Kluyveromyces lactis: one gene and its partner. The protein of the gene in region 1 interacts with the protein of each later gene in a pairwise test. Links are inferred from orthologs where the notes say so. Each region holds a gene or a part of one and is shown on either strand. Other genes may lie near its edges.

Evidence for each region.
Region 2: the proteins of KLLA0_F10978g (region 1) and SHM2 interact in a two-hybrid assay, tested with the Saccharomyces cerevisiae proteins (2 studies listed by BioGRID). The link is inferred for Kluyveromyces lactis from reciprocal best matches to the Saccharomyces cerevisiae genes BAS1 and SHM2.

The regions. Positions count from the first base shown.
Region 1 is NC_006042.1:1,010,833-1,015,282, reverse strand, and holds KLLA0_F10978g (uncharacterized protein), read left to right. Parts: upstream 1-1,494; coding exon 1,495-3,804; downstream 3,805-4,450. Other genes in the region: SUMO protease ULP1, read right to left, coding at 1-791; ATG44 (mitofissin), read right to left, coding at 3,997-4,209, 4,364-4,372. UniProt on the Saccharomyces cerevisiae protein: Activates HIS4 transcription only in combination with PHO2/BAS2. BAS1 is also involved in the regulation of the purine biosynthesis pathway.
Region 2 is NC_006042.1:828,462-831,973, reverse strand, and holds SHM2 (glycine hydroxymethyltransferase SHM2), read left to right. Parts: upstream 1-1,563; coding exon 1,564-2,973; downstream 2,974-3,512. Other genes in the region: AGX1 (alanine--glyoxylate transaminase), read left to right, coding at 1-742; putative mannosidase MNL2, read right to left, coding at 3,289-3,512. UniProt on the Saccharomyces cerevisiae protein: Interconversion of serine and glycine.

The sequences.
Region 1 (4,450 bases):
GATTTCCTGTTTTCCAAAATTAAAGCCTTAATCCTTTCTGTAAGCCTTACAATGTTGTTATTACTACTGTTTGTACTGGCATTGCTGCTGTGGCTGTTATCTCTTGAAAGAAGTTTGAGCTGATTTTCCCTTTCCTTTTGCATCTCAATCGGTACATGATATTCTCCGTTGAATAAATTTTTTAAATATGATACTTCATCGGACGGTTTAGCAATTAATGCAGTGGACTGCTGTTGCTGGTTCTTATGCTTGAGTTTTCTATAGAGTCTAGTTCCATATTGTACTCTTGTAGGTGAGGATTCTGTATAGTTTTCTTCATTAGTATTATCCCAATGGAAAGGATCCTTAGGTAACTTCAACACTTCTTTCGTTGGAGTAATTGAATGTTGTAACTGTTCCCTTAAATGCTCCTTCTCTTGGAGCAGTGAGTCTAAATGAATTTTCTTTCTCGGAGTCGACTCCTCATCAACTCCTCTTTTCAAACTGTCGTAATTTGCTCCAGTAGTGTTGGAAATGGTACGATCTTTCCCATTTTCTTGCTCCAAAGGATCAATCCAGGAAAACCATGTCTTTGCTGAATCAAAAAGAGTTGAAAGGACAGTATTATATCCCAACGATTTCCACCTACTTTCGCTACCTCTATCACGTGCTTCATTACCAGAATTTAAACTATCTTTGATACCTTTCCGGTCGAAATAGTATGGTTTAGAAGAGACATCTGCAGTTATCACCGTTGATCTGGAATAATCACTAATGTCATCAAACCCTTTTCGATGATACGATACCGTCATTATTTCTACGCCAGTTTCATATAAGTGGTGAAAGTTAGAATTTAACAAATGATTCGGTTACAATAATTAAACTAACACTCAAAACTAGTATTTCAGCTGCCATGTAGCCTGTAAGTTACCATATATTACCTCGTTTCTTCGTTCCTGAAGTTATTATTGTTGATAATTGAAAGCAGCTTTTCGACAGAGATGCAATCCATGTTGAGAAATGTATACTTATTTAAACATTACCCGGATACTATCACGTGCACAAAATTTCTGCCAGGGCCCTTCTGCCTGAAAAAGAAAATAAAGAAATTTGCCAGACTAAGATTACTCAAATTTGACATCATAACTATGTAGAGTATCTCTCAGGGTATCTATCAAGCGAAGTGAAAACGGTGAATACAGCGCCTATATCACAGCAGATACAAGGCTGTGTAGACAGTTTCAGAGCTGTATTAAATTACAACTTGGTTTTCAACCCAAAATATCATTAACAGAAACAAAAAGAAGTTTATCGTTATCGTCATCTATTGATTGTACTAACAGTCATAACGGAAATATCGAGATACACTTGCTATAAAGTTTTGAACAATCTCAAAAACATTGGTTGAGAAGTAGTAAAATTGGTGTTAATTAATAAACTTGATTTCAGTCTAATTTTTTGACTTTTCTATCAAGAAATCAGTATCTTGGATCAAGTATCTATTTTGACTGGAATATGAATGAATCGTCGAGTGAGAAAGGAACTGTAGCTAGCAGTGTGAGTGACGATTCGGGTGATATGTCAGAGGAGCATATGAGCAATTTGAGGAAGAGAGTTAAGAAGGAACCAGTCAATGCTCTTGAGGTTTCAGAATCTTTAGGGTATCAAACGTTTAGAAGAAAGATGAGGAAAATATGGACCAAAGAAGAAGATGATCTGCTTAGAAAATTGGTTAACGAATCGTTAGTAAATTTGGGATATCCGGATGGTATCAAATCTATTAAAACAATTCAGCAATCTAGTAATGTTGTCAAAAAAATTCCCTGGGATCAGCTTGCCAAGCAATTCGAATTGGATAATAAGAAAGCGACGGATGTGAAAAAGAGATGGACTAGTTCTTTAGATCCTGTATTGAAGAAAGGTAAATGGACACCAGAGGAGGATGAGCTTCTCTTAAAATCATATGAACACCATGGTCCGCAATGGTTTAAGATTTCCTACGTTTTAGAGAATAGAACTGAAGACCAATGCGCGAAGAGGTACATCGAAGTGCTTGATCCCAGTACTAAAGACCGACTACGACCTTGGGATGAGACGGAAGATCTTCTACTTATAGCGAAGGTCAAGAAATATGGTACGAAATGGAGGCAAATATCGACGGAAATGGATGCTAGGCCAAGTTTAACCTGTAGAAATCGTTGGAGGAAAATTATCACTATGGTTGTTAGAGGCGTTGCATCTGAAACCATAAAAAGCGCTGTACAAGCTGGAAACATGGATGCAGGTAACGAGATGACCAGATTAGGTGAAGAAAACGAAAAGGAAAACAAGACTGATGATGACGAAGATGTTTCACGTCCTATGTCAACTTCAAATACGCCACAACCTTCAATGAAGAGCCCGAGTGGTACTGTAAAGAGAGAAGAATCGACACCTATGATATTTGACATGACTAACAGAACTAATTCTAGTGCGGCATTGTTGGATGTCTTGAAAACTGGAAAAATCAATGCGAATGATGGACAACAACCACACCAATCTAACGAAAGATCGACAGCCACCCCAGATCCAGCTGTTTTAAATAGCATAATATCGCCTTCACCGCATTACAACTCTCCACATCCTTCTATTTTTGTTGGCAGCATCAACAAAAAAGAATCTGCATTACCATCACCTAGCACATTTCTTCCAATACCCAATGTCGAAACTAGGAAACAACAACCAGAAACAACAGTTGACTGGAAATTTAGTCTGAAGGAATCTTCAGGTCATACCTTATCCAACGGTGTTATATCAAACGCTGACTTGGTAAAACAGTTAATAAATCATGCCAAGGCCAATGATTTGAAAATATCAATTCACCAGCATATTCACAACCATTATCTGGCTCCCAGACAAATATCTCCACCTCCGTTAATGTTACCACAGCAACAACAAAATAAACACATTGGTAATACTACTTCAAATTCACAAGATCTTCCAAAAATTAGAAGCCCGTCCTTCTCTGACTTCGAAACTGATTTTCTATCCAAAACTCCAAACTTCAACAATTGGGGATTGGACGATGAAACTCAAAGTCCATCGGCTCTCAACGATAAACTACAACGATTTTATCATCATCATCACCATCATCATCATGATTCGCTAGATGAAGCTCAAGAGCAGAACATAAAACAACAGCATTTAATGAACGGGGCTAATTATGCACAAAACGGCTTAAGCCAGTTGCCACCAAATCCTACAAGTTCCACTGCATCTTATCCATCGCCTACAGCTCCAGAAATCAGAGAAATAGGGCCAAGTAGGCACTCACATTTCAATTATTTACCACCCACGGTCAAGCCACAGCTTGGATCCAGTGAAAACGCCAAGACAGTTGAATTAAGCCGATTGTTAAATCCAAGTCCGAATGGACTTCATGGACATAAGAGGAAACAAACAAAGAGAAGAGGTAAAAATGAATCCAGAAACTCTAGTGCTGCAGGATCGACAGGAAATACACCAGCTGAAGATTTTGATCGCAATGGACCCAAGAATAAAGTAACCCCAAGCACCGTGTCCTCAATATCAATTATGGAAGAAGATGGTAATGATTTCTGGGAGAATCTACGCTCACTGGGAGGTAACATTGGCAGTGATGGAAAAAGCTCAGAACGGAAGTCTCCTAGTATTTCACACATAAATGATCTCTTTCAAAATACAGAAAATGCTGCTGATACACCAACTGGCTACGATGCCATCTTTAAATTTTGCGAGCAGAAGCAAATGGACGACAAGCAATCAACCGAAGAAGTTGTAGCTGAATTCGCCATCAATCCAAGCTGAAACCAGCAATGTATCATTACACCGAACTTTAATTTTCAAAACCACTTAAATATATAATGAATATACTAACTATAAATATATGTTAAGGACTTACAATCACATCTGTTTCATTCATAGCTAACCCGTTATAGCGAAAAGATCACACAAAAAAAACAAATTAAGTTATTAAAGGGGAACTTCGTCTTTTGTATCTCATTTCCTCTGGAAATATGATGAAGATCCTAGAGTTGCCACTGTATAATCATATACTGACTCTCCCAAGTTCAAATATTTCGTGGAATATTCCCTAACGGTAATATCGCTAATGTGATCAATCTTAGGGGTCAATCCAGTATTTCTCTTAATACCTGCCAAGCAGGTAGAAATTAAAACAGCATCAATAGCCAAATGTACAGTTTTACCGATCTTAAATTAGTCTTGCTCATCCAATTCACACTCTTTCCTTCTTCCTCTTCGGAAGGAATGAGCGCATTTCATAGCATAGATGTTAGTATCTTTTAGACATATAATCGTAGCAATACGATTGACAACCCAAACTAGGCTTCATAGCATAACATACAAAGGTCATTTTAGGGAATAAACGTGGTTTATTTGAAGACACCTCGTCTTTGTATATTCTTTTGGCCACAGATGATTTCCTGTTTGC
Region 2 (3,512 bases), about 180 kb from region 1:
TGAATCTCAATTAAAGTCCAAGAAATACCAATTGATCACTTTGACTCACGTCGATACCTCTACTGCTACCCTATTGGATCTCCCATCAATCACCTCGTTGGTGAAGAAAGTTTCTCCAGAAACTTTCATTATTGTTGACGGTGTTTGTTCCATTGGATGCGAAGAATTTAAATTCTCCGAATGGTCTGTCGATTTCGTTTTGACCGCATCTCAAAAGGCGTTATCATGTCCTTCTGGGTTAAGTGTTTCTTTGATCAGTGAACGCGCCTTATCATACGCTTTGAGCAACGAATCCACCCATGGATTCTATGCTAACTTAAAGAAATGGATCCCAATCATGAAAGCATACGAAGCTGGTGTAGGCCAATATTTCGCTACTCCATCAATTCAATTAGTTAACGCATTAAACGTCTCCCTTGGAGAAATCTTGTCCTATGGACTCGAGGCCAGAATCGCCAAGAACAAGAAAACTTCTGACCAGTTCAAAAATAACTTGAAACAATTGGGTCTCACTTTGGTCTCAGAGGATTCCAACAGCGCTCATGGATTGACTGCCGTATACGTCGACCAACCAGGTAAAGTGATCTCTTCCTTGAAATCAAAGGGTATAGTCATCGCCGGTGGAATCTTACCCGGCATCAAGGACAAGTATATCCGAATTGGTCACATGGGTATCTCTGCCATCGATGACAACTTGCACCACATCGACAAGGTATTCGAAGCAATCAAGGAATCTATTTAATCTAGGGAAATCCATCCTGTTTGTATATAACGATCTGTATACTCCTTCCCTCACTCAAGTCAAACTCTTTATGCCAATGCCATGCCTCTTCTTCGTCAAGTCTACTGTCGAACCTTTTCAAGTCAAAAATGGAAGCTCATCTCGAGAAGTGAAAAGTGAAAAAAAAAGGAACAAGAAATGCAGTGGTGGCTCTCAAAATGTGTGTATCACCGCTCCAGCTCCATTCAAGTCATATATTGGATACAAAGGCCCGTATTATCACGACTCATTTCACTACTATTTTGTGGGCCACGAAATTTATACACAAATGTATGCAACTATGTGTAGTGCTCCTACATAACCATCACTGTGTTTTTTTTTCCGATGACTTGAAGGTACTATTACTGCCGTTGCGCAGCAGAGCAGCAGTGACATAAGTAACAGTCCCAAATTTTTTTCACAGGTTCCAATCCAAGCTAATTCTATCTTACAACGGGTAAGTAATAAGGTTACTGTCAGTACTGAAAGTACTTACGATGATTTTATTTACGTAGTAATTTTCTTTTTCAGAATTATCATAATTCTTTGATCAAGTTACTGTGAAATTTTAATTGAAAAAAAAAAAAAAATTAAGTTCTTACGAAATCCTTTATTCGTTATAAATATGAAGGATACCTGATAGAGGGAAACGTGTACAAGTATATATATTGGACTACCATTTATCTAATTGTGTTTTATCTTGGAATCCTTGTTATTCGTTTTGTTTTAGAGGTTTATAGTATTTCTTCTCTTCCAAGCTACTCTTCATTAAGGATAGAACCAACAACTATAATAATCTAACGATGCCATACGCTCTATCTGACTCTCACAAGAACTTGGTTTCTGCTCACTTGTCTGAAAGTGATCCAGAAGTCGAACAAATCATCAAGGATGAAATTGACAGACAAAAGCACTCTATTGTCTTGATTGCTTCTGAAAACTTCACCTCTACCTCTGTTTTCGATGCTTTGGGAACTCCAATGTGTAACAAGTATTCTGAAGGTTATCCAGGTGCTAGATACTATGGTGGTAACGAACACATTGACCGTATGGAATTGTTGTGTCAAAAGAGAGCTCTAGAAGCTTTCAACTTGACTGCTGACAAATGGGGTGTTAACGTCCAAACTTTGTCTGGTTCTCCAGCTAACTTGCAAGTCTACCAAGCCTTGATGAGACCTCATGAAAGATTGATGGGTTTGTTCTTGCCAGATGGTGGTCATTTGTCTCACGGTTACCAAACTGAAAACAGAAAGATTTCTGCTGTCTCCACTTACTTCGAATCTTTCCCATACAGAGTTGATCCAAAGACTGGTATCATCGACTATGACACTTTGGAAAAGAATGCCATCTTGTACAGACCAAAGATCTTGGTTGCTGGTACTTCTGCATACTGTCGTTTGATCGACTACAAGAGAATGAGAGAAATCGCCGACAAGGTTGGTGCTTACTTGATGGTTGACATGGCTCACATCTCTGGTTTGATCGCTGCTGGTGTTATTCCATCTCCATTCGAATACGCTGACATTGTCACTACCACTACTCACAAGTCCTTGCGTGGTCCAAGAGGTGCTATGATCTTCTTCAGAAGAGGTATCAGATCTGTTAACCCAAAGACTGGTAAGGAAATCCCATACGATTTGGAAGGTCCAATCAACTTCTCCGTCTTCCCAGGTCACCAAGGTGGTCCACACAACCATACCATCTCTGCCTTGGCTACTGCTTTGAAGCAAGCCAACACTCCAGAATTCAAGGAGTACCAAACTCAAGTCTTGAAGAACGCTAAGGTTCTAGAAGAGTCCTTCAAGAAGTTGGGTTACAGATTAGTGTCCGATGGTACTGACTCCCATATGGTCTTAGTCTCCTTGAGAGAAAAGGGTGTCGATGGTGCTCGTGTCGAATACGTTTGTGAAAACATCAACATCGCTTTGAACAAGAACTCTATCCCAGGTGACAAATCTGCTTTGGTCCCAGGTGGTGTCCGTATCGGTGCTCCAGCTATGACTACTAGAGGTTTCGGTGAACCAGAATTCGCTAGAATCGTCGACTACATTGACAAGGCCGTTCAATTTGCTGCTAAGACTCAACAATCTTTGCCAAAGGAAGCCAACAAATTGAAGGACTTCAAGGCTAAGGTCAACGAAGGTTCTGAAGAATTGACCCAATTGAAGAACGAAATCTACCAATGGGCCGGTGAATTCCCATTGCCAGTGTAAACGAACTTGGATTAAAAAATATTTGACAGACACTTGTTTTCTTTCCTTTCCACACTGTAATAATGACTATCCTATTTCAATTCTTATGGACATCCAACAAATTGATGATCCGTAATACCAATTGCAATTCACACTCTTTTTTATCAACTTGGGTTCTAATTTTCAACAAATGGTATCTCTTTTATCTAATTGATGATATGTATAAATAGCATCTCTTTTCGTATATTTTTTAAGTAGTTCAATTCAACAATTGAATCATATTCAACAAAATAATCATGATCATTCTTGCTATAACAAATGCGAATATATACATATTTACGGGTTCATTAGCTTGTTGGTTTCTTTTATGTCGTCAAAGGTATGATAAATCCGTTTAGAAGTCGGATTAACCTCAAATTGTCTGGCAATGAAATGGTACTTGCTGTTTATGACGTATTCATCAATATTAACGTGATCCTCAAACAATGCATAAAATAACCTTACTAACTTTCCCGTATCCGCTACGGTTAATTGTGACCATTCGATGCTATGCATAAGAT